3 linked regions of the Lytechinus pictus genome follow. The protein of the gene in region 2 purifies or fractionates together with the protein of the main gene of each other region. This does not show direct contact. Links are inferred from orthologs where the notes say so. Each region holds a gene or a part of one and is shown on either strand. Other genes may lie near its edges. The genes, in order: cleavage and polyadenylation specificity factor subunit 2-like, symplekin-like and cleavage and polyadenylation specificity factor subunit 3-like.

Region 1 (10,763 bases), about 9.3 Mb from region 2:
CACAGAGTCCTCACAAGACAAGGCTACATGAGAACAGCATTTAAAAATTCAAAGCCTGACAAAGACAAAGGTGCTGCTGCGCGCGCGCCAATAATAATTAAAGGCCTTATCTCCCAAAAATATTTTAATGTCACACATGATTATTCAAATTACCACAACCATGACAACCATCACAGTTCACACAGTTGCTGGAATACACATGTCGTGTCTGTAAAAACTCAAAAGTCAAAGTCAAACATTCACTCACGTCACTCATTTTCAGACCTAAGTAACGTTAAACGGTTAAGTGCCAAGTGTCTTTGTTGCTGCCCTGATCAGTGTCTCTCTCTCTCTTACACACACACTAAACTTCACAAAAAGCCGGTGATGTAGCTCATATACAATTTGAATGCTATAATCACGAAAATGTGATATCATATATGCATGATACGTGCAAAAAAAATTGCGTGCACAATGAATTAAGGCATTACCAACAACATGACCAGTTGCAGCAGTGGAAAAAAGCTAATTAGGATAAAAACGCCCTTAAGACTAACAGAACGGCAAGTCCAGGGCTACTTACATTTAAATTCTTCAAATTCAGTTTTATTTGACGTAATTTAAAGTTGTTAAAGGCGTTATTTTCAGCGAAATTATATATCGTAATTTCTCAATTCTCCCCACTCGCACGTTTTTCTAGGTATCGTTACCGGTATACCGTTTTTCTACCAATGCAAACACGGTCGCGTCGAGTGATATGGATATGGAAGGCCAATAATATCGTAATTCGTACTGCCCTCAATCGTCCCGTTGTGAGTGAAAAACAGGATTTGAACAGATGGAGTAAAATTAGAAAAAACAAAATACTTAACTAACTTTCATCAAAACCGGACAAGGAATGACAAGGTTGTGACATTCTAAAGCTTTACACCATTGCGGTGAAAATTAGAATTTTCTACGTAATTCTTCATGAATATTCAATGAGCAATTTGATTTCAATTTCAATTTCATTCATTTCAATTAATCTTTGTCGATTTTTCATATTTACTATTAGTGGCGTAACTACGGGGGGCATGGGGGGCACGCCCCCCCCCCCCCTATCGGATGGGAGAAAGGAGAAAGGAAGAGAAATGTAGAGGAAAAGATGATTATGTTATGTTATATTACATAAGAAACATTTTTTCATAACTTTATGAAACATAATTTGTTCAGGGCTTAATTATGTCTTCATTATTCATGGTGCTCGCATATTCTGTTTAACGAGATATATAATCATGTTGTACTAAAACCTTCCGTTTTCAAGTCAATATACATCAAATATATTTCCTCGCACTTCGAGTTATTATTGTTTTATATAGTGACATAAGCTTCTTTTTCATGACTACTTAAAGTGATTGCCTCATTTTAAGTTTAATATAAAGCATTTCATGTCCGTGCTTACGTTCGCATTAGTAGATTGGTGAGGATATGTCTGCTTTTCATGAATTCCTCTAAAATCACACTGTAAAAACTGCGGTGTTAAAACTGACACCAGTTGGTGTTAATAGAGGACCACACCGTGAGGTGTTAAAATTACACCCTAGAGATTAAAAATAACACCAAAGCGTGTAAATGTAACAATCAAAGGTGTTGTAATGACACCTATAGGTGTAAAACTAACACCACCAATTCAACACCGGTGTAAAATAACTGGTGTGGTCCTCTATGTACACCGGTTAACATCACAGTTTTTGCTGTGCAGTCCTTAAAATGTCCCTTTTTCTAATATGAATATCATAAATTTTCAGCTCGCGCTCGCATCATTTAGTTAGTGAAAAACGTATGGTCTCAGTCAATTCCTACTAACAAGACTTAGAATGCCCCTCTTCAGGTCTGAATTTCCTTAATTTTCAGCTCGCGTTTCGCGCTCGCAATATTTGATTAGTGAGATGCGTATGATAATCATGATTACAATGACTACAAAAAGTGCGTCATTGTGTAAATGTAATTCTAACAAAATCAGCAAGCGCTTATATTGGCACTCAAATTAGATGACTATGGTGAGATATGATTCCTTTAAAAAATAGTCTTTAAAATATTCCTGTTTGGGGTCAATTTATACAAAAATTTATACAAAAATTTTAGCTCTCGCTTCGCGCTCGCATAATTTGGGTAGTAAAATTCGTATATGGTCTTCGTGAATTCTTACAAACAATGCTCCTCTTCAGGTCTGAATTTCCTAAATTTTCAGCTCGCGCTTCGCACTCGCATTATTTGATCAGTGAGATATCCGTTTAACGCCACTGTCCTTAAAATGTCTCTATAACATGTATTAGGTCAGTATACCTGGCAACTGAGCGCGCTTCGCGCGCTCACTAAGTGACTAAAAATGTTTGCTGGTGCCCCCCATGCCGTGACCCAAGGTACGCCACTGTTTACTATGATGCAGTTAGCACAACATAATCTCGTATCATTACAATGAGGAGGAGGAGGTGGCCAAAGCAGTGGCTTGTATGTGTAGGCATGCAGGTCGGGTCGTAGGCCCTGGGGGAGGTACGCTAGGTACGCTAGTGTATATAGGCCTATAATACTTTGTTAAAAATGTTTATAATGTGAGCAAAACTCATTTCCATGTGGACAATAAAATGAAATAGAAATGAATGATTCAATTCAATTTTAATTTATCAACATGTATTATGTTCATGTTTCACTTTATATATTCAATGCCATTCCGTCCATCAACATTTCGTATAATAACCATTTTGGTCCAATAGCCATTTCGATCCAATCATTCATCTAATCACCAGTTCGTCTATGAACATTTCGTCTCATAACCAGTTGTTCTTATACCTGTTTCATTTTCATTCACTTTGCCCAATGAATTAACACTGAGTCAAATATATGGATATGGACGAATGGCAATTGGACCAATCCCTGGGGGGGGGGGGAACTCAGTATATAATGCATAGTGGGTATGTGCCGCGGAGGGAACCTCCATTTTTACACTCCAATTTCCATTCCAAGGCATAGCATTTTTGTCTTATTGAGAAAAAGAACAAAGAAAGCCGCTCCAAAGCATAGCATTTTCTTCTTATCGAGAAAAAAAAAAGAAATCCGCTCCAAAGCTTCGCACATTTTCCGTTACCCCCCCCGGGGGGGGGGGGCACTTACATTGACGGATACCAAGCGCGACCCATTTACATTGACGAGTGGATACCATGCGCGACCAAAAAAACACGTAAAAAGGATGTATTTTTCAAGATAGGGCACGTTACTTACGTAACGTAATAAGGATGTCAAAAACACTAAAATAATGAAAAAAGGCCTATTTTTGCTAGGATCGCTACGTGTATATTTGTGAGGGTATAAAAAATTAAGACTAAAATGTTTAATAAAGGATGTACCTTTTTCCCCAAGAGTCAACACTACGTGTTTAGAGTATGATTTTCGCGAGGTGTGCATGGGAGGTGGGGCTGTACTTAAAGGGATGGTCCGGGCTGAAAATATTCATATTTTAATACATAGAGCAGAATTCACTGAGCAAAATGCCGAAAATTTCATCAAAATCGGATAACAAATGATGAAGTTATTGAAGTTTAAAGTTTAGCAATATTTTGTGAAAACGGTCGTCATGAATATTCATTAGGTGGGCTGATGATGTCACATCTCCACTTTCCGTTTTCTTATGTTATTACATAAAATCATAATTTTTTCATTATTTCATACTTGTGTGAATAATATGTCTCCCTTATAATGAAATAAGTTGCAGCAATAAATATCTAATGCACTAAATCAGTTTTCAATCCAATTATTTTAGTTCTTGGAGGAAAAAAATTGAATAAACCTAATTTCATATAACAAAATACAAAAGAACAAGTGGAGATGTGACATCATCAGCCCACCTCATGAATATTCATGACGACTGTTTCCACAAAATATTGCTAAACTTTAAAATTCAATAACTTTATTTGTTATCCGATTTTGATGAAATTTTCGGCATTTTGCTCAGTGAATTCTGCTCTATTTACTGAGCTATACATACTTTCAGCCCGGACCATCCCTTTAACCAATGATAGGTAAAGGTAAAACCGACGAACGACGTCCGTGACATAACAATTGAAATATCGTTGTACTTGTTTAGGGGTTCAATTCAGGGAAGACTTCCCTATAGTATCGTTTTGTTTCCAATACTTGTTAAGGGTAGGGTTTCACACGCCAATACTTGTTGAGGGGTGCATTTTCAGAATATGGAAAATACGTGCTTAGGGTGCTTTTCGAGACCCCATGGTCGCGCATGGTATCCACTCGTCAATGGATGTGTCCCCCCCCCCCCCGGGCGCGACCAAAAAAACACGTAAAAGGATGTCTTTTTCAGGGTTTCAAGATAGGGCGCGTTACGTACGTAACGTAATAAGGGTGTCAAAAACACTAAAATAGTGAAAAAGGGTATCTATTTTGCTAGGAAAACTACGCGTTTAGGGTCAAATTCGCGAGGGTATAAAAAATCAAGACTAAAATGTCATATAAAGGATGTACTTTTTGCCCCAGGAGTACGATTTGCGCGAGTTTGGCTGTACTAAACCCATAGCAATGATGTAGGTAAAGGTAAAACCGACGACCGACGTCCGTGACATAACATTGAAATATCGCTGTACTTGTTTAGGGGTTCAATTCAGGGAATACTTGCCAATAGCATCGTTTTGTTTCCAATATTTGTTAAGGGTAGGGTTTCACACGTCAATACTTGTTAAGGGGTGCATTTTCAGAATATAGAAAATAAACGTGTTCATTAGGGTGCTTTTTGAGATCTCATGGTCGCGCATGGTATCCACTCGTGGATGGAAGTGCCCCCCCCCCCCCCGGGTCCGTTACACTGTTCCGGCCGCTACAATGAGCCACAATTTTGGTAGCCTCTTGTCGAGGCCCTGTCGGCGAACAGTGTGAACATTCCGAGCGAACATTGCGAAGCAAGGGAGAGAGCGAAGCAGAGCGCCGCGAAACAGGGCCTCTTGACATCTGACCCGAATTTCACCGACTTTCTTTTCTTATTTTATTGTTTTTACCAATACATGAATATACCGACCAAAAACTGGTCGGTGAAAATCATCCAATGAGAGCGCGGGCTGCTATGACGTCATATTGAATATTCATGAGCTCATCTTGAATGGCGACCCGTGGATTCTTGGCGAAGAGTGACCGCCAGTATTAATAAAATAAAAGATAATTTACCAGACGGAGTATTGAGTGGGAGTGTGTGCTTTATTAACAACACGGCCAAGAGGCCGGATAAACGGATATCCGCGCGCTGTACAATGTAGCGACAATGCATTCATAATCAACACCTTGGCGTGACTCATTTTTCCTTCATATTTTCTTCTCCCTCATTATCTAAACTATCCAACCAATAGTAACAAGAACAACTCTACTAAATCTAACATAACACAATTCTATGTATCACCAACTAACATATCTAAGATTGTTAAGCAGATCTCATTTTGTTTTACTTCCTCTTTACAGCATAAAATATTAAATTGCCTTTCAACACTTTAAATCATCTACAAACTAAAAACCAGTCAAATGTCTTTCAACATACAAATCATTACTACTTGCATATAACTTGCATATAAAAAGATCCCATTAAACTTCAGCAATCATCCAAAAATACACATTACAAATCCTCATTATTAAGCAGCTTTAAAAGACACATATACATCATTTGACATTTTATCTTAATCTCCTTAATATCCATTCAAAAATGGTGAATGAGGCAAGTCTGCTAAAATAATAAAACACAGCAATAAAATACAATGACACTCTAAAAAGATAAATGAAGCCATACTAAACTCCAATCAAATTCTTATCCATAAAGAGCAAGAAACTTTCAAATAATAAAATTGCCTGCATACATAATAAATCCTGCCTATCAATTGACATAACATATATACATAAATGCACTGTTAAAGTCAAATACAAACAATATCCCACCATCAAAGGAGGATACAATTTATTCAAAATGCCTATACCAGATTGATAATAAAACAACAATAACAGATACATGACAGGTATGATGATATGATATGCATCAATAAACAAATCTAAACATTAATGTGAGGCAAAATAGCAAACCAAAACATGAGGATTATATTTGTACCAATGATTGCTTGTCAATAAACTATCAAAACACTACTCCATAATTAAACTGTATGCTGGTGTAAACAGTACAAACAATACATTAAATCAAACATGAGTTCTGCTACCTCTCATTTAGCATCAGCTGTCATTTACAATCTACCTCTTCACTCTATCTCTTTATCCCAACTTCACTTCATATTGGTAGGAAACATAACAACCTGCATCATGGTACATTCTTGCACCTTACACTCTACCTCTTCACTCTATCTCTTCATCCCACCTTCACTTCATAGGAACACATAACAACCTGCATCATGGTACATCCTTACACCTTACCCTCATTCATGAAACAACCATGTCAGTCACTCCAGTCAAGTAATACTCAGCACATTGTCTACCTCCAATGTAATAAACAAGTGAGCAAATATCAAATACACTAACTCACACATCAACAATCAATGAAAAAGTCACATCCTAAACTCAGCGATTATCCAAAACATAAATCAACAGTTAACTCTAATTACAGTGTCTAAATACACGTTAAAAAAGGGGGGAAAATGAGAAAGTACATTAAATATAATAAAAAACAATTAAGCCAGATTGACGAAAAAAAAAAAATACACAACATCAGGATAAACAGCAGTTTAATGGAGTACAACCTAAAAAATGTACATGCAAAAAGTCAACACATACAACATGTAAGGTCCAGTCCTAATAAGCACAAATCATATGATATGGGGTAGATGGGGGGTCTAAAGGGACGACTAGCAATGGGGCAGGGGAATGAAAGTCCAGGGCTTTTCGTACGAGAGGGGAAAATTCTGGAGGGTGGTCATGGGCTGTGGTAAACAGGCAAGGCTGGCTCGGGTAGTCATCAACCGCTGCTGGGATATCGGGGGTGATACCTGACTGAAAGATATAGGATGCCGTATGTGGACTGGAACCTGTGGGTTGGGAAAGATTAGGAATTATGGGCGGGCTACTGTCTTTGTGAGACAGGGGCAGAGGCACCTTACTAAAACATTCAGGGATGTCAGGAGAGATGGGTGTGGGACTACTCAGCTGAGGAATGGCAAATGGAGTAGGGGCCGGTAACATAAGTATGCCGTCATCAGCTTGGGGCCCTGGAGGGTCAGTGAAACTGCAGGCCGTCAGTTGAGGATGGTCAGTAGGGCTGGCTGTCATCTGAAGGTCAGTGTCAAGGGAACCATGGGCTCTCGAGGTAGGTGAACCGTGATCATGGACACCACGGGCCACTGTCTCCGAGGAACCGTGATCATGGGCACCACGGCCTACTGTCTCTGAGGAACCGTGATCATGGGCACCAAGGGCTGTCTCTGAGGAACCGTGATCATAGGCATCACGGGCTACTGTCACTGAAGAACTGTGACCATGGGCACCACGGGTGACTGTCTCTGGTGAGCTGTGATCATGGGCAACATGGGCTACTGTCACTGATGAAGAATTGTCATTATGGGTACCACAGGCTAAAGATGGAGGACGGTGATCAAGTGCTCTTTGCTCTACTGAAGGACCACGGTCACGGGCACCATGGGCTAGTGACGGAGAGTCGTGTCCATCGGCGCAACAGGCTACCTTCTTTGGGGTGGAATCAAAGGTGACATGATTTGGCAACTCTGAGTCAAGGACTGTATCGCCGGTTACTTTCATAGGGATGACTTCTGCAGAATCTGGTGGGTAGCGACAAGGGTGGTTATCAGTCATCTCTATGGTACGAACAATGGCCGGAGGAAGATTTCTTAGGCTATCAGTGTGTGGTTGGTCATGTGACTGGAAGTATCGTGTACCGATATAAGGATCATTGTACGAGGATTGTGATGTGTCATGTTTGTGGGGTGTCGTGTGTGAATGACCAGGTGAGTGTGGAGATGTCAAGATGTTCGACTCCAACTCAACCACGAAATCGTCACCGAGCGAAACGAACGAGCGCTGTTTGTTGAGTGGATCCGAATCGGTTAAGTTTGACTGATCAGCTGCTGGATCATGCAAGCACGGCGAAACGATCGAATGAGGCAAGCATGACTTATCATCTAACGAATCGGGCAAGCGCAGCGAAACGTGAGAATCGGACATGAGCAGCGAAACGATAGAATCGGGCTTGTGCAACAAGCAGGCCGAAACGGGCGAGTGCAAATCATCGAGCTCAGGCAACTGCACTTCTTCGTAGGTCAAACCAGAACCTGACAGATGAGAATGAGCCTTCGAGACAGGCATACGAAACTTGTCGGATGTATCAGGCACAATATCAGAAGTAGGCCTATGCACAACAACATCATTCACTAGAGGAGTAATGTGAACAACTTCACTGAGATTCCTGTTCGGTCGGTTTTGACTAACCCCACTTGACTCTACACAATTGGCGGAACATTCAGACTCGGAGGACTGGACATCCTTAGACACAACACTCAGATTCAGCCGACTCTCATCTGAGTAGACACCAAGATCTTGTTCACAATTCCCTGGGACTATAGCAATGGGGTCTGGCCTAGACACCACATGCATAGGATCAACATCATCATGAGTAGACTGATCTAGATCTACACGAGTATTCTTGCATACTAAAGATTTGTCACTCATGACACCACTTGGTTTACTATGATAGATGAAAACAGAATCATCACTGAATGTGATCAGATGCCTAGCTGGTCTAACGGAGATGTCATTTGCCTCCATAAATGGGGCACCAGCAATAATTCCAGTATTTGTCATGGCATCATCCTCAACAACCAAACCATCAAATTGTAATTCTAGGCCATTACAGAAGAGTGAGAAATAAGTCAGGCCAATGATACCATTCTTGTTTACATATTTAGGTATTATTTCAATGTAATCTTCTTCAATCATCATCTCATCAATCACTATCTCCAATCCCAATGTCTCTGCCATTGATTCGCTGATTAAATTCACCTCACACGCACTCCTTATCTCTACTTCTACTTCTTTCTCTTCATAGTTATAGTCATAACCGCCAACAGCATGGAAATATGGGGATATAACTGAGTTACAAGGATTGGAACACTGCTCCATTCTACTGTTAACCGCCACGCTCTCTCGCGAGGCGGTGCCCTTAGCCGCGGACACGCCCACATGTATCGTCGAGCAACTATTCATACTGTACATGAATATACGTTGAAGGGACTACACACACTCAAAATGCAAAAGAACTCAAACCTATCACCGTTAGGCTAACGGAGCGCCTGGCCCCTTGTTTAGAGTAAGAATTATCGGACTGTTGGTAGGATCACCTTAGGGCCTTAGGTTCAGACCACAAGCTGCCACCACGCCAGTATTAATAAAATAAAAGATAATTTACCAGACGGAGTATTGAGTGGGAGTGTGTGCTTTATTAACAACACGGCCAAGAGGCCGGATAAACGGATATCCGCGCGCTGTACAATGTAGCGACAATGCATTCATAATCAACACCTTGGCGGACGACGAAACATCAAAGAGCATTGAATATGCCTCTAAAATGCTGAATATTGACCGATTTAAGGATTTGCAAGTCGATAAAATTAAATCTGCACTGAAAGGACGAGATGTTTTTGTAAATCTACCCACAGCTAGATATGGAAAAAATGTTATCTTTCATGCGATTCCACTGTGTGTCGATTATCGTTCTCCGCGGTGCAGTGAGGGAATGCTGGAGTAGAGTTGTTTCCCCTTGACTCGAGTCTGACCAGCGGCTGACCAGTATCTCCCGGAAAGTTTCGGGGCGGTGATGAGTCTTTTACGGCCAGTACTAGTAGTAGTAGTAGTAGTAGTACCACTGCTTGTAGCATTTTGCTGGTTATATCCCCTTTAGTGTCCCGCAATTAATTGAATCCCCTGCAGAATAGTGGACTACTATATAGTACTCCGAACCCCGGACGAAACAGCTTTGACATTTCATTGGTTATATCCCCTTTAGTGTCCCGCAATTAATTGAATCCCCTGCAGAATAGTGGACTACTATAGTACTCCGAACCCCGGACGAAACAGCTTTGACATTTCATTGGTTTACTATAGTGACCGGTGATATTACAACTCATGTATATTCATTAGGATGACGTTCCTCATGAATAATTCAGATCAGATGTCAAGAGGCCCTGGCTCGTGCCAGGCCTAATTCGCGAAGCGAATTAGGAAATCCCTCGCTTCGCTCGGGAAGCAGCCGCCAGGGCCTCGACGAGAGGCTACAATTTTTGGTGAAAATCGGCCGCAGAGCGCTGTCCGTCGTGTCCGATCATGGCCGGTATTCACTAGCCTCTTGTCGAGGCCCTGGCGGCTGCTTCCCGAGCGAAGCGAGGGCTTTCCTAATTCGCGAAGCGAATTAGGCCTGGCGCGAGCCAGGGGCCCGTTTCTCAACACCGTCATAAGTCTAAGATCTTGACTAAATCGGAGATAGTGAGCTACTTGTCCGCTAACCGTTTCACGAAGCCCTCTTTACCAAGATCGGGTACAACAACCTCACTAAATATTTATGACACCTCCGAACCTGTCATAACTTCTTTCTCAATGACGTAGTGGCATCACGTGGGTAGACTATGACATGCAAAAGTGCCTAGAAATTTGAAAATAATAATCTTACGTAATCAATCATAGAGGTTGAAATTACATCACAAAAAAAGTGGGATAATGCATTCAATGATAATTCTAATACAAATAAACTA
Region 2 (10,904 bases):
CCCTCAATCATATTTCAAGGTCAATATGCCCACCGCTTTTCAAAACAAGTGGAATGCCTCTGGCCGTCTCACCTGCATCACGCGATTCAATATAGCAGCAGTGCTGATTTTGAAAACTACTATAACTCGCACAAGATGTTCAGTGATACTTGGTTACTCTTATTTCCACGTTTTATGAACTAGACCCATACACTTATAGAGATATGATGGTAATTCAACAAATACCCCCAACGTGGCCAAAGTTAATTGACCTTACATGACCTTTGACCTTGATCATGTGACCTGAAACTCGCACAGGATGTTCAGTGATACTTGATTACTCTTATGTCCAAGTTTCAAGAGAAAGATCCATCAACTTTCCAAGTTATGATGGTAATTCAACAGATACCCCCATTATGGCCAAAGTTCATTGACCTTTGACCTTGGTCATGTGACCTAAAATGCGCAAAGGATGTTCAGTGATACTTCATTACTCTTATGTCCAAGTTTTATGAACTAGACCAACACACTTTCAAAGTTATGGCGGTAATTCAACAAATACCCCAATTTGACCAAAGTTCATTGACCCTAAATGACCTTTGACCTTGATCATGTGACCTGAAACTTGCACAGGATGTTCAGTAATACTTGATTACTATTATGTCCAAGTTTCATGAATCAGATCCATAAACTTTTAAAGTTATGATGGTAAATCTACAGATACCCCCAATTCGGCCAAAGTTCATTGACCCTAAATGACCATTGACCTTGGTCATGTGACGTGAAACTCATGCAGGATGTTCAGTGATACTTGATTAACCTTATGTATAAGTTTCATGAACTAGGTCCATATATTTTCTTAGTTATGATGACATTTCAAAAACTTAACCTTAGGTTAAGATTTTGATGTTGATTCCCCCAACATGGTCTAAGTTCATTGACCCTAAATGACCATTGACCATGGTCATGTGACATGAAACTCAGGCAGGATGTTCAGTAATACTTGATTAACCTTATGGCCAAGTTTCATGAACTAGGTCCATATACTTTCTAAGTTATGCTGTCATTTCAAAAACTTAACCTCAGGTTAAGATTTGGTGTTGACGCCGCCGCCGTCGCCGCCGCCGCCGCCGTCGGAAAAGCGGCGCCTATAGTCTCACTCTGCTATGCAGGTGAGACAAAAATCGCAATCGGGAACGGCTGTATTTCGACTTTGATCTCAATGTCATTGTTCGAATTCTCAGTCAGATATTGCTTCCCTTCGCTTTGCCGTAAGTTTGATATGGACTGAAGTTAGCAACCAAAATCATGCAAACGTGTGATGAACAAACGGATGAGCTTTCACAGGCAAATCTTTTGGTCATGTTGTTTATGGACCTCGAAATGTGACTGATTGTGAGAGACTTGCTATCACATTTGCTAACAATTTCTGGCGGAGAAATTTGCTCGAAATCAGCCAGTGCGAAACTGTATTAGCAAAAAAGGCTTCATGAAACAGTTAGCGGACAAGTAGCTCTTTATGGGTCTTAGTTATAAAAATGTTGAGAAATGGGCCCCAGGCCAGACACTGCAGCTGCATTTTATGGTAGGGGGTCCTAAAGCTACGCACCACTCATCGCGCATGCAGTTTTTAATGGCAAATGCACACTCTGTGAGTGGAAATGTGACCGCAGAGTGACGAACGATTCCTATTCAATTTTTTCAACAGAGGCTGCAGTAAATCTCTAAATCAAAAAGGCAGAGAAAATCTACAACTGTTTGGAATTTTGGAGTTATATTCGCTTTAATTTCTTATTATCCTAATATGATCATATTTTAGAAATTGAAGCACAGGAAATACTATTTTTCTGCATGATAAACCAAATGCGTAGCTTTAGGACCCCTTCTATCTACATCGGGCGGCGGAATCAAGTGTTCGGAAAACACGGCGGGATTTTCGTATTAGAATTTAGTAGGTTATTTTCTTCTTGGTTAATGATCTTTAGAATGTTTGCCACAAATTAGTGAAAAATAATTTGTTCAAATATTAAAATTGGCATAGTTTTTATTATTTGTAAACAAAGTGCGTACCTTTTTAGGTCCCCCATCATACAAAATTATAAATCACAACAGGGTGTCCAGACGTCCCGTATTTCCCGGGATTGTCCCATATTTTGCTCTTTTGTCCCGGCAAACCCTTCCCGGGACGCCTATTTGTCCCGTATTTCAGAATATTGAACAAAATGTATTTCATACATTTAAAAGTGACGAATTTTCATCAAATAACAAACAGATGGCTAAGCAGAGACAACAATAAAATCGATAACTGTAAACTTCTGCAAGTTCTGCGGTGATTTTCTTGCTAACCCAATACATTGCAAACGAACTGGCCTCCTGCCTGTGTGTGGCAGGCTTCTAGCTAGCTAGGCATGTAGGATCAGAGCAGATTCTCAATGGTGTAAACAATCTTACATGATAAATAGTTTTTCCACCAAAATAATCACAAATTCGGCAGGAAAATAATTTTTATAATTATATTATGGATTATCAGATTGCTGATTTGGAGATGTAATTGGAGGAACAAGTTATTGAGTTTTCATAACTAGATCTAGTTGTTTCAGCTTTCGTTTTGAGTCTTGGTGTGTATGATACCGCGATGTTTCATCTAATTTTTAAGTTTGACTATGTTTCACTTTGAAATTTTATTCATTTCTAAAACATTTTAGTTTTTTTTATTTTAAAAATGTATTAAAAAACACACCAAATATCATTATGTTTTTGTTAGACGATTGGATTTGTTTTGTTTGCTTGAAGTTTAAACTTTTTTCTTCTTTCTTTCTTTTCTATCCTTCATTGTTCATCCTTCTATCCTTCCTGCTTGCCCTTTTTGTTCCATCTTTCTTTATTTCCTATATTTCTTTCCTGACCCTTTCTTTCTCTCTGTGTTCATTTTTTTTCTTTATTAAATATCCGTTTTTATTTGCTTCTTTCTTTCTTTCCTTAAACTTTTCTTTGCTTCCTTCTACCTTTTCTTTTCGTTCTTTCTCTTCCAATATTTTCTTTTTTCATTCTCTCCTCCCTTCATGATTCCCTTCCTTCCTTTCATTCTTTGTTTTATTTTCCCTTCTAATTCTTCCCCTTATTCTTTCTTTTCCTTCCTTCCTTCCTGTTTTTCTTCATTCTTTGTTTCTTTAATCTTACAAAGAATGAAGGAAACATTTTTCTTTCCTCCTCCTTTTTACTCACTTTCTTTTTTCCTTTCTCTCCTTTAGTTTGTCTTTGAGCTTCACAAATTTGTTCATCTTCCCTTCCTTTCTATATTCAATTCAAAGAATGATGGAAAAAAAAATTCTTTTATTCTTTCTTTTATCCATCTTTTATTCTAACTTTCTTTTTTTTCCCTTCATTTTTTCTTTCTTTCTTATCAATTCATCTCTTTTCTTTCTCTCCTTCATTTTTTCATTAACCCTCCCTTCCAATTCTTTAGTTTTTTTTTCACAAGTCTAACACTGTGTTATACTTGTGACTTTGTTTGTCGATTGTCCCGTATTTCATTTTGTGAAATCTGGTCCCGGGGGGGGGGGGGTACTTGACCAAAAAATTGGTAGGTATGTGCCGCGGGTGAGACAAAAACCGGGGGCCTTGGAGCGGACTTATCGTAAAAAAGGAGGATCCTCGTAAAGGGCTTCGAAACTAAAAATGTTTATGAAAACGGGGGTCCTTGGAACGGGTCACCCAGACCAGACGTCCCATATTTCCCGGGATCGTCCCGTAATTTGCTCCTTTTTCCCGGCATTCTGAAAAACCATTCTCGGGACAAAATATACATAATTATAAAAGTGACGAATTTTCATCAAATAACCAACAGATGACGAAGCAAATTTACTGTAAACTTTTGCGAGTTCTGCGGTGATTTTCTTGCTAACCCAATACAGTACATTGCAAATGATCTGGCCTCCTGCCTGTGTGTGGCAGTCTACTAGCTAGGCATGTAGAATCGGAGCAGATTCTCAATGGTGCAAAAAACTCACATGATAAACAGTTTTTCCACCAAAATAATCACAAAATCGGTGGGAAATTTTTTATAATTATATTATGGATTCTCAGATTACTGATTTGGAGATGTAATCGGAGGAACAAGTTATTGAGTTTTCATAACTAGATCTAGTTGTTTCGGCTTTTGTTTGAGTCCTGTTCCTGGTCTTGTTATTGATCGATACGAACTTGAAGTGGGATGGGAGAGATGCCTGTATGATGCCGCGATGTTTCATCTAATTTTTTAATTTGACAATGTTTCACTTTGACATTTTATTCATTTCTAAACCATTTTAGTTTTAAAAATATATTAAAAAACACCAAATATCATTATCATTATCTCCTCTATAACCTTCGGCGCATTCGCAAATACTTTGATCAAGAAAGTATCAAACTGGTGGCGCATGCTCTGATTACAAGTAAGCTTGATTACTGTAATGGTTTGTTGTTTGGAATGCCTGATAGTCTCATTTCTAAGCTACAAAGAGTCCAAAATTCATGTGCAAGACTTATCTACCGTGTCCCAAAGTTCAGTTCCACTACACCTCTTCTGAGAGAACTCCACTGGTTGCCTGTACATAAAAGAATTTCATTCAAAATTCTGTTAATTGTATATAAATCATTACCCGGTAATCGGTCAAGCCCCACATTACATTACAGAATTACTCAAACTTAAAACCCAATCACACAGTCGAAACCTGCGAAGTTCCACAGATAAATTATTGTTTCAGATCCCATTTCACAAAACAAAAGTCACACTTGGTGATCGTGCATTTGCACTTGCTGCCCCCAAACTATGGAATAGCCTGCCAATTGATATAAGAAGCTCTCCATCCTTGGCTCTCTTCAAATCAAAATTAAAAACATATCTCTTTAGTTAAGAAAATATGCTGTGTAGACATAAGTAAAAAGAGCTCTGAACAAGCGCAGCTGAATATATCCATATAAAAGCTGCGCTATATAAATTAATGCTTATTATTATTATTATTATTATGATTTTTGTTAGATGATTGGATTTTTTTGTTTGCTTGAAGTTAGAACTTCTTTCTTCATCCTTCTATCTTTCCTGCTTGCCCCTTTTTTGTTCTATATATCTTTATTTCCTGATCCTTTCTCTCTGTGTTCATTTTTCTTTCTCTTTCTTTCTCTTACTTTCCTACTTTTTTTTTATTTCCTTCATTCTTTCTTTCCTTAATTTTTTCTTTGCTTCCTTCTCCCTTCCTCTCCTTTTCTTTTCGTTCTTTCTCTCCTCCCATTCCTTTTTTTTTTCATTCCCTCCTCCCTTCATTCTTTCCTCCCTCTCCTTCATCCTTTCTTTATTTTTCCTTTTAATTTTCCCTTATTCTTTCTTTCTTTCTCTCCCTTCCTTCCTTTGATCTTTCCTTCCTTCCTTCCTGTTTTTCTTCTTTCTTTCAAAGAATGAAGGAAACACTTTTCTTTCCTTCATTTTTCTTTCCTCTCCTTTTTTTTCTTTTTCCTTTGGCTGTCCTTTATTATTTCTTTCACATATTTATTCATCTTCCCTTCCTTTCTTTTTATATTCATTTCAAAGAATGAGGGAAACCTTTTTTCTCTACTATATCCTTTCTTTCATCCTTTTATTTTTTTCTTATTTTCTTCATTTTCCCCTTCGTTTTCTTTCTATCTTCTCAATTCATCCCTTTTCTTTCTCTCCTTCATTCTTTCGTCCACCCTCCCTTCCAATTCTTTACATTTTTTCACAAGTCTAACATCGTGTAGCCTTCTCTGTTGATCTGTTTTAAAAATTAAGGCCTAGTTCTGTCATTCAGCTCGTGCAGCGTGCTTTGTCGATTGTCCCGTATTTCATTTTGTGAAAATTGGTCACCCTGGGGTCGCCTGCGTGTGCATCCCTTTGGAACAGGCATACGTGTATGCAGCTAGCCCAGCCCGCCGGGTGCGATCGCGCAGAGGCGATGGTCGGACAGCGCTCTGCGGCTGCTTTTCACCAAAATTGCAGCTCATTGTGGCGGATCAATGCTACTGGAACAGCGTAACAAAAAATATGCGAAGCTTTGGAGCGGATTTCTTTCTTCTTTTCTCTCGATAAGAAGAAAATGCTACGCTTCGGAGCGACTTTCTTAGTTTTTTTTCTCAATAAGACAGAGATGCCAAGTTTAAAAAAATGTTATAAGTGAGATTTTCATGACTCGGCGACTCTGCACGCGCGCAGCCAGTACTTACACTTGTACGTTTCGAAAAGGCACGCGCGCAACTCGCGAGATATGGGCTTTATCACGATATTGATCCATACTACAAAACCATGCGATGCACGCACGCGATTCATCGTATCACGTACTAGCTGTGCGCTGACTGCACTCTCGATTCGTCTCACGTGCCGGGGTAGACGCGACGGCATGCGAAGGCTTTTTCTGTCGGGTCCCGATGCGTGAGAAAAATGGGTGCCATGCGTGAGACGGACCCTCGATGCGCGAGTCTCACGCACAATGTTTGAGACTTGGTAGCTCTGATAAGATAAAAATGTCATGCCCTGGAACAGAAATTTGAGTGTAAAAATGGGGGTCCCCTCCACGGCACTATGCATTATATACTGAGTGCCCCCCCCCCCCCCCCCCCGGATCTATCATCTGGTCACCCTGAAAGTGAAAGGCCTGATCTGAATCACAATTTAACTGTTATTTTTATTTCATTGACATTTAGAATTTATGAAAATATAGATCTAAATATAGTCAACTTAAAAAGAATATATATATTTTTTTCAGAGATCTAAACCTTATTAAACCAAAGATTATGATAGCTAATGCACTTTCGTACCATCCGACGAAACCAAGCAGTGTTCCACAGGCACAGCCCGATTTCCGGCGCGGCTGCCGCTGGGTCGGATGTCGGGGACGATGTGACTGATGCGAAAGTGCACTAACGCCGATGATACCACACTTACGACCGAAAATAGGAAGTTTTGTCATTATTGTTGCTTCAAAACTACACCCAATGCACTGTTGTGATGTAATCGGACTGGAAAAATCAGCTGGTAGTTGCATTCGATCCTTTTTTTCCTGGAAAAGAGATTCCTGGTATGGGCAAAGGCCGAGGACGAGGTTCAGGTTCGAAGCGAGCGATTTCCCCGAGTTGGTTTTACAAAGAAAATGTTCTTAAAGATACCATACCGGTATACCGGCTGTATACTGTGCATGCATCACATGCATATTTCATGCATTATACATATGCGCAGGCTAGGCAGGGCAGGCGGCCACTGGGTTTGGAGTGAAATGAACTGAATTTTGTCTGCTCTGTAATTCTTCTTGTAATCTCACTGTTGCAGTACGTGTGAAAGTAAAAATGAGTGCCGGAAGTAGTAGGCTATCTGTAGCTTCACAATTTTTTATGGACGATGATGATGGAGGAGAAGGACAAACCGTATCCGATCGGGTGAATCTTTTTTTTCTCTCATTCTCAATCAGTCTCATTGTCTCAATTTTGTTTGAAAACTTGGGACAGTTTGGGAACGTAAACTAAAGTCAAGAGAGCACAAAAGTCTTAAAGAACTTGATGGTTGTTTATCCAACAAAGTAGACTATGCCGTAGGGCCTAGGCTATGTCATCATGGTCATACTACTAGCTGTTGATCCTCGGCCAATCAAAACGAGTCATGTCAGAAGACTCAGATTTAAAAAAAAATATGTTGATAAAATGGCCTATTTCAAAGCCAGGGATCCTGTGGCATGGGCCGTGTCTAGCGCTCAACATAGCCTTTCGAGACTAGCCTCCCCCTTTTGGCTTTAGAATCCAATTTCATGAATTGCTCATGTATGATGCCTCGTTCTAACACTAGTCACTCCACTACATTATTAGTATCATCATCATGGTGTCGTAAACAATTGTGACATTGTCACATTGGATTTGTAAAGATGTTACTCCCCCCCCTTTTTTATGTGTTTATAATTATAGAGAGTGAGACTAGGCCCTAATTTGTTTTATTAATTTGTTCTTATTTGTGTAAACAAAAGGGGTAACACTCCTGTCATGGTTGACTATATTTCAAGCCAGTGTATCCAGAAAGGGTTCTGGGATTCGTTCTAATTGTCAAAATTCAAAAGCAAGAGAAAATATGGGAGAAAAAAAGGAGAAGGGAAGGTATCAAACCCCCTTATTTAATCCGCTGACTACACTCTCGCTGCAGGGCTACATACATGTAACTGAAGAAACATAATGTAAAGCAAATGATCATTCAGTTAGGCCTATATCTTCTGTGATTTAAAAAAGTGAAAATATTGCCTTGTGTGCTCTTTCATGTACTGGTATACCAAGTTGGTGTGTGTGTGTCCCGATAGGTTGTGTGTTCGGACAATTGATTTTAAACAGTCATTTGAGAAAGTTAACAAGAAAAGTTTCATCAATTTTAAGTGTAGGCCTAACTATAAACGATTAGGCAATATTATTGAGAACAAAACTGAAGAAGTTTAAAACTATTAAATTCATATTTTTTTGTAATCCAAAGCCCCCCCCCCCAAGACTTCAAAGATTTAAAGTGTCCGGATACACAACCCCCATCCTACATGTAGATCTATTTCAATTTGGGAAACCACTCTTATTGAGTCATGCTCATTAGATTCTTAATCACCACCACAAATATATTGACAACCATCAGTGTTGACAACTATGATTAAATAATTTTGAATTATAATTTTTTTTTTAAATATATTTCTTAAAATTGCTATGTTTATCCAGACACATTATTTGTCATGTTTGGACATATTAATTATGTACATGTTGAGTAAAGGGGTTTTTGTGTGTTTTTTCTCCCTTGTCTACAGGTTGTTGACTTGCTGCAACAAACCCACACTTTACCCAGGGATTCTCAGAAGATCAACAACTTGACCCAAGTCCAGCAACTTATTATTGACAAGGATCCTTCTCTACTTGATAATTTTCTTGATGTAAGATTCCTTTGTTCTTTCCAAACATTACCAAATGTTTCTATCCGGCCATGTGTTTCAAACTTGACCTTAAAAAAAAAGTCATTTTTGTGAGGCTTTTTCAGTTTTTTTCTATATTATGTGAAGTTATATAACATATGCTTTGTCATCTCACCAGAAATATATCTTGGCTAACTAAACAGAGGTTTGCCATGACAATGATGTCATTTTAAAGGTGAATAAATTATACTCTTATGTGTCTGTATATATGATTTCATAAATAGCATGTGAATATGTGATACTTGCTTGGTAGGAGCAAAAATGAAGGTGGAAGGGGAAGTGGTAGACATAAACTTGATGATAGTGACACGCTTTGTGTGTTAAAACTGAAATAATGAAAGATTTTTTTTTTATCTGTGCAGGAAGTTCTTCAGTTTCAGTTTGATGATTCCATAGAAGTAAGGAAATTTGTACTCAGCTTTGCAGAATGTGCCTGGTAAGAAAATTACATTTGATTTCATTCTACTTTTATAATGCAAAATACCAAAGAATTTGTTGTTTTTGTCTTTGAATAAAGAAAAACATGGAGAACAGATCATCCCTTAAGAAAACTCTCTAATAAGTAAACAATTTTCCACCCCCCCCCCCGAAAAAAGAGTTTGACTTATTTCAAATTAATCTGCAAGTCCCATCCCACACGACCCTTCAATTAGAAAGGAATATTAAATTGATAGCCTCAAGAAGGTAGCACAGTAATTAAAGCACTGGTTTTTTTTGCCTTTTGAGGCTTTTTATTTAGGGCTGTACTTGTAGATCATATACATTTTAAGTTGACAGCCTATATATAATTAATAAATTTTTGTATATAATAATAATAATAATAATCCGTTTTTTATATAGCGCTTAATACATCGGAACGACGTGTCTAAGCGCTTTACAGATATATTATTACCCCGGTCATCGGATTCAATCAGTCATTCCCGCACACAATGTGTGCACATCCTCCACTCCCTGGGGAGTATTCCAGTCAGTCGCCGGTGAGGCGCACACAGTACTGGACAAGCTACAAAGACTTTCACATCCTACCGGGTACCCATTTAGCACCTGGGTCGAGAGTGGCAAAGTGTGGATTAACGCCTTGCCAAAGGACGCCAGACTGCGGTGGGATTCGAACACACGACCCTCTGTTTACAAGGCGAGAGTCAGAACCACTACATCACGGCTCCTCCACAGGATATTATTGTGTCAGTTATTTTAAAACTTCATGCATCATGTGTCCATGGCATTTAGTCAATGCTAGTTGCATACATCAATCATGAAAGAAACAATGTTATATCAGATGATCTTCGAAGGTTTGCATGGTGTTACAGATATCATGAAAAAATGTTTAAGGTTCACCATAAATGTGGTTAGTCCAGAAAAAGACTGCTGCTTGGTGGAGAGATAGAAATGAAAATGAAAGATGAGAAAGAAAAAGGTGAAAGTGAGAAGTATCTTTCATGATGATGGACCCTGGGTGATTGACAGTCAGGTTGCCCAACATCTTGAGACGCCTCAACTCTTCTACTCACCACTGCTCATCTTACCTGTCCCCTTTCATCTCCTGATCACCACTAGGACTTCTCAACTCATCTATTTATTTTCCACTTAACGCCATCAGGACTTCTCATCTAATCTCATCTGAGTCATCAGTCTCATCTGGTTTACAGTCCTTTAAAGGACTACACCTTGTTTCACAAAAGTTACTTCTCAATCTCACTTCTCTTTTTTGCTTTTCAGGACAAACCATATGGTGAATCGTATACCATCTCCCACATGATGCAGGGCTGCAAATTTTCTACATCTCATTAATTAATACATTTGATTTTTTTCATTAGATTGCATGTAATCAAGAAAGATCTCCCACCTTCCTCACTAAATTCTCCCTGAAAGATAAATTTAAAGTTAGCATCTCTGCTAATATTATATCATTAACTTTTTTTTTGTTTATTTGTTCATTTTTCCTCGATGCAGCAA
Region 3 (10,755 bases), on a different chromosome or scaffold from region 2:
TTTGGCCTTGAATTTCCAGTAAATTAATCAAAATTACGGCCTAAATTTAGGTCTATGTTATCAATTATATACTAATTTCATAATTATAATGTAAAACGGGTACTCACGGGTTCTTTTCTTTCCAAATTTTGTGTTTTCATCGCCTCTTCTGGCCAACTCTTGCGATGGATTTTGTCGCCATAGGATCCTGTACGTGCAAATCCAGGGCGAGTTGTCACATGACGCTCGCGAGTCTCTAGGGGTAATGGCCTTTAATCAAGGCGTTCTTTTTGCTATAATTTTATAATGACGCTTAAATATCGAAATCAATGTAGACGAGTCTGTGCAGGGGCATAACAGGGGTATATAAGAGGGGGCATAGTACATGTCGCATGTGGAAGATACAAGTTACGTAATGTAAGTCCCGAGCACTAGCGTACCTAGGGGGGGGGGGCAGTCTGCCCCCCCCCCCCGATGAGTCACAAACCCATGCAAATTACATATCTCTGCCCCCCGGCCCCCCTGACGAGCTTGAAAACCTATTTTGCCCCCCCCCCCCGACGAGCTTGAATACCTATTTTGCCCCCCCTGGCGAGCTTGAAGACTTTTTTTTTGCTTGTCAAATTTTTTCTGGTACGATTGAAGACCTTTTTCATTGAAGAGCCTTTTTTTCCTTTTTTTTTGGCGGCCGATTTTGCCCCCCTGTGGAAAATCCTAGGTACGCCATGCACTGCCCGCGCTACACGTATGTTGGTAGCCCTGGGACCTCTGGATATTAACTAATCCAATTTAATTACAGATGGCAGATTTTTTTATTATCTGAGTAGCCCCCCCCCCCCCGGATTATTTGTTCTCACATTACTTTCCTTTTTAAATTTCCTTTCGTTCTTTCTTTCATTTTTCTTTCTTTCTTCCTTCCGTTGCTCCTATGTTTTTTTTTCAGGTGAAATCCACTCGGGGGATGGCCAGCCATGCCCCCATCTGTTTATGCCTCTGAGATGTAGGCTATACTCATGATCTTAATCTTCGATTTTCCAAAGTAGGGGGGGTGCTATTTCTCAAGTAAAATTTGACAACCCCCCCAAAAAGGTTATCACAGAAAAATTGTCATTTTGTCTCGCGTAAGATTTGACAAGTAAAAAGAAAAGATGGTTACTAAAAATAAAAGACTCATTTTGTCCGTGTAATATTTGGCAAGCCTCCCCCCCCCCCCAAGTTTAACATATCAGAGGCGCGATGGCTCAGTCGGTAGAGCAGGGGTTTCGGATTCCGGTGACCCGGGTTCGATTCCCAAGTGGTGCGCTAGTGCCCTTAAGGACGTTCCACAGTTAAAGTGAAATCCATGTCATTTTCACCAAACTTTGCACATAGATACTTTAGAACCTTAATATTCGAAATATGCAAAAATTAACATAGGTCCATGTGCTTGATTTTTTGCTATAGAGCTTCAAAGTTCACCCAAATTGATTTTCTTAAGAATTGCGCATTCAAAAGAATTTGGCATTTTTAGACCGCCCAAGATTACTACAATGAGTTTAAACCTCCATTACTCAGTCAAAATACATGAAAAAGTCATCAAATTTCGCAAGAGAGTTAATAATTGTATCGTTAGAATTGAGAATCTATTAATAGTGCTATTTGTTTGCAATTTTAAGTTTAACAGCACTGTCAGTTCTTAAAAATGGCGTAAAAGATAACAAAATCCCAATCTAAAAAATGTAAAATTTCAGTAACAAACTACAAACGTACAATAAATGCTGCACTTTATTCAAAATCCATGTCATTTTCACCAAAATTTGCAGAGTTGTAGAGGAAGGTATACCTAAGAGGTACAAACATTAAAAAATAGGGGTTCATGTGCTTGTTTTTAAACTATCAGCATTTTTATTAGAGCAAATGTGCCTTTTAAAACACCAAAAATGGGCCGAATGCTTAGTATCTATGTGAAGAAAAAATCAAAACCACTCTACCATTTATTCAAACTCGGGGTAATATTCGTGATTCTTGGCAGCACTGCAGAGTAAAGTATTTTGAAATTGTAGAGAATATTTTTTTGAATGGTCCATGGAATAATTCAATTTTTTAGCTTCATGAAATAACGCATCGGATCTGCAGTTAAAGTGCAGAAGATGAGAAAAATCAGCTGATACCCGCAGCTAATTAATCACCTGTTCATCCATTGTGACGTCAGCGCGCAGAGTGTAAACTATGCGCAGATCATAATGCGCACAAATATAACTGTGGAACGTCCTTAAGGCTTATCCTCATTACCAGGTCCCTCGGAGAGGACCTTAAGCCGTTGGTCCCCTGGTTGCTTGCTCACAGGCATTCGTGCTTTTTTAGCAGTCAGGTAAAAAATCTCGATATAACATAACATTAAAAAAAAGTGAAGGTCATTTTGTCCTGCGTGAAATTTTAAAAGTAATAAAAAGATGGTCACTAAAATTGAAGTTCATTTTGTTTGTGAAATATTTGGCAAGCCCCCCTCCCAAAAAAAGGTTTTAACTAAAAATGATTGAAGGCCATTTTGTTCCTCTTAAAATTTGTCAAGTATAAAAAAAAAAATCACTAAAAAATGAAGGTCATTTGTCCCACGTAAAATTTGACAAGCCCCCCCCCCCCTAAAAAAAATGAAAGGTAGCTGATAATGATTGAAGATCATTTTTTCTTGCATAACATTTTACAAAAAAAAGTGTGTCACTATTTGGCGAGCCCCCTACCCTCCAAAAAAAAGGTTTAATTAATAATGATCGAAGGTCATTTTGTCTCTCGTAAAATTTGACAAATAAAAAAAAAGTTGTCACTAAAAAAAGAAGGTCATCTTGTCGCGCGTTATATTTGGCAAGCCCCCACCCCCCTAAAAAAGTTTGTCATTAAATATAGAAAGTCATATGTTCAAAGTAAAATAAATTTGGGAAGCAAAAAAGAAAAGGACAAAAAAGAGCAAAGAATATGAACAAAATATCCCCATTACAAATATTGCTGTGATTCTCATAAGGAGGTGGGGGGGGGGGGGGAATTAACTTTGTACGAACGACATTTTTTTTTTACATCCAAAATACACTTGTTCACTGCAACCATCCTGCCTGTGGAGAATCTACAGGTAGGACTATGGCATGCCAATGCTGTACACAGCACACACTTTAAAAAATGATTAAAATATCACTTTTATGACCAAAATTACTAATTTCCATACAGTTGCAATTTATTTTTCATTAGTAACTTGGGAATAATTTTTGTATTCACTAGAGCGCTCAAAAACTTGAATTTTGGGCATATTTTTGTGTACGCCCTCTATTGATAGAAAATAATATGGCAAGAAAATTGTCATTTTTTAATCTCTATTTTTAATTAAGAAAAAATAATTTAAAGAATCAAATTTACTTAAGGGCCAAGTCGTATAACGAATAATTGTGATGGAAACTGTCAGTGTAAAAAAATCAAGCATTTTTCCCAAAGAAAAAGAGAAAATAAGCCAAACATTGCCATCCTTATTTTGCCACACATGGAGATATAACTGAGAACAAGGTTATATCATAACCTTGTTCATTGAATGAGTGCCAAAATATTGACTATGAATCTCAAAAGGTGGAACGGGCCAGAAATGCTCAACCCCCCCCCGATCTGCCATTGATTCCAATCGATAATGACTTTTCCCTGCAATACTGATGCTTGAAATCAAGATACTGAAGATTGATATATTGTAATATAAATTATGAACGTCTGACAAAAAGATAACCAACCGATCACCTGACCGATCAGCTGACCAGTACGTGAATCACATCGTAGTTGATCAGTCCCCACAGCGTTTGGAACGCTCACCAAGAATTCAAGAAAAAAGACTGAAAATGTAAGTTTAACCTCAATCCATTAAATTTCAAATGTCGTAGAAGTTTCCTTATCATGTTTAAAACTAATTAATACCTAAATTGTTACCATCCACTATGTATTAAGGCGTACATTTGCCAAAGTTCTTGGGTGCAAATAGAAACGGCAATGTCTAACCGGTTTTATCACTGATGTCGCCTATGAGGTCCATACATGTAATGTTTGGACCTCATTGGTACTAGGAGTGCAATATTGGCCGTGCGCCTCTACTGCCAGTGCCAAAGTCTTTACAGTAAAAAGATTGGACACTTTGCCGACTTCGCGTAACGCTTTGCATCGATTTACGTGTAAGATAGTTTTTGTGTCTAGTCTCTCCCTTGTAGTAGGCCTAGTGTCTTTGATATGATTATGAAGATAAATCGCGCGCCCTCTTTCGCTCGACATGTCATTAGACAATATTAGACAAAAAATTTGAGAACTCGCAAGGTTGGGCCGTATTTTGTCAACGAGAAGAAAATCAACGCTTAAATGACGCTATGTATTTGAGGGTTATTCATCATATTAGGAGAAATTGACTTCACATCGTTTGGTAAATTTCGTAGGACTTCATTCTGTAAATCCTCTTATTAGTGATGTTAGCTAACGCCAAAGTGAATAGGTGGGACATTGGAATAGCGGGCAAAAAATAGAGCCCAAGAGAAAAAAAAATTATAAATAAAAATACTTACAATGGTCGAACAATCAAACGGTCACTTTCCTCCTCTGGGATCTGCGCATCTGGCTTTCTTTTGGCAGCCATTGCTTCAAATTATAAGCGATTTTCATAAAATTTCAACGACACAAACAAATCCACACGCGCGATCATTAAGAAAATGTCGCCCTCTATAATCAGCGAGCAGGGAGCTAGCTAGAGCAACGAATTGTGAGCTAGAGGTTGACGAAAATGTTGTTGTATTTTTTTGGCTCTCACAGGAAATTATTCTAATCCCAATTCCATTAACACTTCCCCACTTCTATATCGTCCCAATATGCTCTTCATAAACTTAAATCATGAAGGGATTTACAATCCTTTTCATCAAAATAAAGGTGTTGGTTTTACAATATTCTCCCAAACCTCATTGAGCTTGCGTGTTTAAACTCTTACAGCCTTTTGACGAGTTTATTTCGTTTAATTAATTACTTGTTTTATGTTTGTTTTGTTTTTCTTGATTTGATATGATTTTCGCCACGAATGACTTTCATTCAATAAACTTTACCACTACAGGGGAATTAATTTTACAAGTACGTTATGGGTTCCCTAATTAGTTTTCCCATCTTTCCTTATTATTAGTTTTGCATTACTAGTATTACTAATAATGCAAAATAGTAATAAGGAATGATGGGGAAAACTAATTAAGAGAAACGTTTCTTTTATTTCGTCAAACCTATACTGCGATAGGCCTATGTATCTCGAAATTTTCCCACATGTTAGATGTTTTTTTGTGTTATTCTTGGTGTTGTTGTTGTTGTTGGGTTTTTTAACCACGTCTAGTACAAGCACCATTTCTTTTAGTCTGTACTGCAAGTATAATGAAAACGAAAAAAAAGGCTTGAATTTTAATTTTACAAATGTTCCCTTTTCATGCGGGTCCGCTTTATCAAGATAATTTCACCACCCTACAGTGGCGTAGCTAGGATTTTTTTCCTGGGTATGGTCCTTGCTTTTTGATTGGGGGCAAATTTTTTATTCTCTTTGTGTATATATTATGTCAAAGGGGCGGATCCGTCCCATAGGAGGCGAGGCCCAAAATTATTTTACCCATATTTTCCCCCGATCGGCCGCTTAAAGTAGATTTTTGTTTGTTCATGTTTTTTGAAGCCTTGAAGGAATAGTCCTCATATAGTCACTAATTCCTAGCTTTATTCTTATAAAACAAGTGAAATAACCTCATTAGCCATAAATAAAAGAGCAACCGCGAAGCGCGACCTAATTTGTTGTTTACTTTCATGCATTTTGTCATGAAAATGTAAGGGGCAATGTTTTTTATCCTAAACAACTAGGTAATTACTGTGAACGCCGAGCGCGAGCATGAATGTTTAATTAACGTTCTGGCCTGATCGAAAAGGGACCTGTTAAGAACTGTTTACAGTTACCCATGAAGAGCTCAGTTGCAAAAAGAATAGGTCAATTTTTCATCATTTTTTTTTTCGACTCAATGTATAGATTTTTAGTAGCTCTATAAGAAACCAAAGAAAAGATTTTCCTTTATCAAAAGGGGTTAGGTCCAATTCAGTTTGGTTGCACAAGGGTTAGGTCCATAAAGACATGGAAAAGAATATGCCTATTCAAAAAAAATATGAGAACACTCTTTTATACCCAATTTTATGTTTACATGGTATAGGGTATCATAAAAATATAGTTTTGGATAAGAATATTGCAATATGGGAGAATAAAAAAAAAATCTTGAAGTGGATCTATTCCCTTTTGCAACCAAACTCTTTTGAAGAGCTCATTTGTCAAAAGGGGTTAGGTCCATTTTTCATAAATTTTATTGTTTTCTGTCTCAAAACCTATAAATTTTTAGTCTGTCCGATGATACCAAAGAAAATTTGAAATTCACATTAAAACGTGAATAAAAGTGGCAAAGAAAAAAAAACACTTTTTTTATTCAAAAGAGATTGGATTCATTTCAATTTGCTTGCAAAAGGGGATGGGTCCAGAATGATATTAAAAAAAAAAAATATGTAGTAAAAATTTAAGACAGGTAGATTTCTTTTATACCCAATTTTACGTTCACATGCTAGGGTAGTACATCATGACAATTTAGTTTCTCACAAGAATATTGCAATAAGTGAGAATAAAAAACATGATTTTTCTCGGAATGGTCTAAAGTGGACCTAACCCCTTTTGCTACCAAACTTTTTATGTTTCAACAAATAATGCGAGCACGAAGCGCGCGAGTTGACAATTTTTGACTTTCCGACCTGAAAAAAAAAAAAAATTCTAAGCACTTTTTGTAATCATGAAAGGAATAGGTATAGATATGTGGAGCGTTATGAAGCGTTGTGGCCCAGTGGATAAGTCTCCGGACTTTGAAACAGAGGGTCGTGGGTACAATTCCCAGCCATGGCGTAGTTTCCTTCAGCAAGTAATTCATCCACATTGTGCTGCACTCAACCCAGGTGAGGTGAATGGGTACCTGGCAGGAATTTATTCCTTGAAATGCGTTTGCGCTGTAATCTTAGTAATTACGGCTGCCAAGCTACAGCTGGGGTAATAAGTCCTTTGGAAGCGCGTAAAAAACATTATTCATAATGTGATATGCGCTATACAAGAACTGTATATTATTATTATTGTTGTATGTAACTAAACAATTGATGCAAGAACTGTATATTATTTATTATTATTGTATGTAACTTAACGATCGATGCGAGCGAAAATTTAGATTTTAGACCTAAAACGAGACACTCTACAGTGAGTAAAAAAAAAACGTCTTTAAAATTTTGTTTCAAATTATAATGTCTATATATATTTTGGTGTAAATAGGTGCTCTAAGGTCTTATCTTTGAAATGCTATTAAAAAAAATTAACTTTGTTCATACTTGAGCGAACACGGGACGTTTATGTTGGGGGTTCAAAAAGAGGCTTGCGCCAGAATTGCAGAATACGAGTAATATGACGATCAGGCTTCTTGCTAATCAGGAGACTTCCTCTTGATCTTTTCATTATCTGTGCCACAATTTTCGAATTATGCTGTCAAATTTTATTTACAAATTTATTTATTTACTTGAATTATTTGTTTTTTTCATTTAAACTTCTCTTACCTTTTAATTTTCCTTCAAAAGTAAGTGAGAAAAGAAGATTTTTTGTCAACCCAAGCAAAAAGATTTGTATTATTAATTGGGAAAACTTGTGATTATTCAAATCCTTTTATTATTGTGAAACAAATTATGTTATGTACCTTTAAAAGACATGAATCTATTTTTCAAAGGGTCATTGATTCCTTGACCAAGTTTAATTGCTTGACAGGAAACACAGGAAGGGATTCATGTCTTTCAATGACAATGGTGTATCGAGTCAATTTTGAAGGAGCTAGATGTGGCAGATCGGTTAAAATGTATTTAAAAGTTGTGAGCGAGCGAAGTGAGCACGCAAATATTCCCACTTTTTTATTACAATATCAAATTTTGTGATAGATTTTGACATAATATTTAGAAAATAATATCATATTTTACTTTCTATCTTTCCTTTTATTTCCTGTCCACTTTTTTTCTTGGTCATGATTTTTTTTAAATTAAGGGGGTTGGGGAGCATCCCAAGCCCCCGCCCATCTTTGTGGCACTGTTCAAAAGGCACCATAACCTTTGTAGCACACAATGAAAGGATTTGAAAAAAAAATCCACGCTCTCCCATACTTCGTTAAAACAAAATTGTTTTAGCTTGAAGAAGGAATATTAAAAGCTAACAGAGAGCATATTAAAAAGAAACAACAACATAACAATTCAAGCAAATAAATAGATCTGAAAATGAATTTTGACCGCATGATTTGAAAAATTATGGCAAAGATAATGAATAGGTTAAGAGGAAGTCTGCTAATTAGCAAGAAGTCCGATCATCATATTTATAATTCTATGCCGTTTTGGCACAAGCCTCCATTTTAACCCCAGACAAAAACATTCCGTGTTCGCTCAAGCATGAACGAAACTAAATTTTTTTCAAAAGCATTTGAAAGATAAGACCTTAGAGCACCAAAATATAGACATTATAATTTGAAACAAAAATTTTATAGAATTTTCAAATCTGTCCCTTTTTTTTATACGCACTGTATTAATATTAAATCATGAATTGATTGATTTTATTTGGCAAATCACTACAACATATAAACAGTAGCATTAAAAACAACATGCTTGCACAGGAAAACCCACGAAAGCTCATTTCCAGTGGGTTCCTCGACATGACTATAGAATTAAGATAATAAAATGATAAATTATACTATTTACATAATGAAAGCGCAAAGGAAAAAAAAATCAGAATTTAATATTAGCAACAAGAAGAATAGAAAGACAAAATGAGAAGAAGCAGAAGAAGAAGAAGAAAAAAGAAAGAAAAAGAAATGAAGGAGAAGAAGGAGGAGAAATAGAAGAAGAAAGATGGGTTATTGGGTATCTTGCTAGTTCAAGTTTTATTTTTCATTTCCATTATCAACATTATAAGCAAATACAAATCAAAGATACATTATAAATATAAACAAATACAAATGAAATATGATAACAATGATTACAAATCAATTACAAGTTCCAAAACATTTGTAAAATAGGTTTAATAGAATCTGATATGGAAATGATGCGAGCGTGAAGCGCGAGCATAAAATTATTGATATTCTGTTCTGAAACTAGATAATTTAAACACATTTTGAATACAGAACAAGCTGCTTATCTCAATAAACATGCGTGTGCGCGTTCTAGATTTAGGCTTAGAATCTGGGCATAATTCTGAATACATTTTTTTAATCATGAAGATCAACAATGCGAGCTCGAAGCGCGAGCTGAAAACATTCGTTATTCCGATCTGATAAAAAACTCTTAATTTAAGCATCTTTTGAAGCCCTGTGTAGGAATATTTCGATGTGGATGTGGACCACACTTAATAAATGATTTGAGCGCGAAGCGCGGGCTGATATTTTTGAATTATCATTTTGATCTAGGACCGGGACATTCTAAGGACATTTTTTCTTTCTATCTTCCTATCATTCCTATTGAAGCACGATATAAAAATGTCGATGTTCCATTCTGAAAAAGGGCCAATTTAGTTATTAGGAATTCATGAAAATGATATTTTCTTATTTATTAATATGCTTAATGAGAGCGTGGACTTTGTTGATGTTAAAGCTTGAAAACTGGACATTTTAAGAATTTTGTAATCACTAATAGGACGCATGGGTTAATACATTTTTAACAATAATGCGAAGGCAAATCGCGAGCCGATTTGTTTTTATAAACTGTAATGAAAAGGGAATTTTTAGTGGCTTGTGATAGAATTAATAGGTATACATAACGCACCAATAAAATACGAGCGTGCAGCGCTAGTTGATGGCCCAACTGAAAAGGGATATTTTGAGAACTCTATGGAATACACAGACAATAGGAAATTGGTAAAGCAAATAATGCAACTGCGCAGCTTGAGCTGAAAATGTATTAAACCATAAAATGGACATTTTACAGAACACTTACAAAGTAAAAAAAAAAAATCAAGTTGTAAATAAAAAAGAATATGAAAGCTCGTCAGCTCGATGTCCGAACTGAGAAATATTGACTTCAGAACTTGATATCTAAAGGCGACCGCACACCTTACGATTGGTCTGCGACCCGATTTCAGAATAAAATGAAGTAGAATTTGATGCTAATATTGAGACTTGGAATATCTTACTGTGTTATGTTCTAAATCATCATACGAATTGCTATGTTCAAATCTGTGACTATGCTCTCATCCTTATTAGAATAAAAGCGAATTTAATATCTAGTCGTAATGACGTCATAGCAGTCGTACGATTGGCTACGATTTGAAACTAATTGGGCCTTTACTAAAAAATAAAGGCTTGCAATCTTTTAAAATTGATTTTAGTATTCTTTCAATTAATTTTAACCTCAAATAAAATTATATGTTTTATTCACGTTTTCAGAAAATGAGCAAAATGCTATTTGTTCCAAATTCGGATCGCGAACAGTCGTAAGGTGTGCGGTGGCCTTTAAGCTCCGTATCAGCCTATTGAGCAAAATATGAATCTCATCGAACAGGCAATGCGAGTGCGAAGCGCGAGAGAACATTTTATATAGTGACATAACAGATTTTTTCGCAAGTCTTCCCCTCACCTTATTTTATTCACTCGTCTCCCTCCTCTTAATTTCCTTTATTTTCCTTTTATCTTTCCCCTTCATTTTTTTATTTCTCCCCTTTTTTTTGCTCCGCCA

What was found.
Region 1: the proteins of symplekin-like (region 2) and cleavage and polyadenylation specificity factor subunit 2-like purify together in Drosophila melanogaster (affinity purification with western blotting; 3 studies listed by BioGRID). This does not show direct contact. The link is inferred for Lytechinus pictus from reciprocal best matches to the Drosophila melanogaster genes Sym and Cpsf100.
Region 3: the proteins of symplekin-like (region 2) and cleavage and polyadenylation specificity factor subunit 3-like purify together in Drosophila melanogaster (affinity purification with western blotting; 3 studies listed by BioGRID). This does not show direct contact. The link is inferred for Lytechinus pictus from reciprocal best matches to the Drosophila melanogaster genes Sym and Cpsf73.

What each region holds. Positions count from the first base shown.
Region 1 is NC_087251.1:22,717,916-22,728,678, reverse strand, and holds the start of cleavage and polyadenylation specificity factor subunit 2-like, read right to left. Parts: upstream 5,229-10,763; 5' UTR 5,188-5,228; intron 777-5,187; exon of another isoform or gene 563-776; intron 1-562. UniProt on the Drosophila melanogaster protein: Component of the cleavage and polyadenylation specificity factor (CPSF) complex that plays a key role in pre-mRNA 3'-end formation, recognizing the AAUAAA signal sequence and interacting with poly(A) polymerase and other factors to bring about cleavage and poly(A) addition.
Region 2 is NC_087251.1:31,990,555-32,001,458, reverse strand, and holds the start of symplekin-like, read left to right. Parts: upstream 1-6,774; 5' UTR 6,775-6,913; coding exon of another isoform or gene 6,914-7,013; 5' UTR 7,014-7,311; coding exon 7,312-7,401; intron 7,402-8,786; coding exon 8,787-8,909; intron 8,910-9,310; coding exon 9,311-9,384; intron 9,385-10,901; coding exon 10,902-10,904. Other genes in the region: glyoxal reductase-like, read right to left, coding at 6,914-7,013. UniProt on the Drosophila melanogaster protein: Component of a protein complex required for cotranscriptional processing of 3'-ends of polyadenylated and histone pre-mRNA. Involved in germline stem cell transit amplification, differentiation and mitosis-to-meiosis transition.
Region 3 is NC_087250.1:4,454,491-4,465,245, reverse strand, and holds the start of cleavage and polyadenylation specificity factor subunit 3-like, read right to left. Parts: upstream 4,693-10,755; 5' UTR 4,607-4,692; coding exon 4,536-4,606; intron 1-4,535. UniProt on the Drosophila melanogaster protein: Component of the cleavage and polyadenylation specificity factor (CPSF) complex that plays a key role in pre-mRNA 3'-end formation, recognizing the AAUAAA signal sequence and interacting with poly(A) polymerase and other factors to bring about cleavage and poly(A) addition.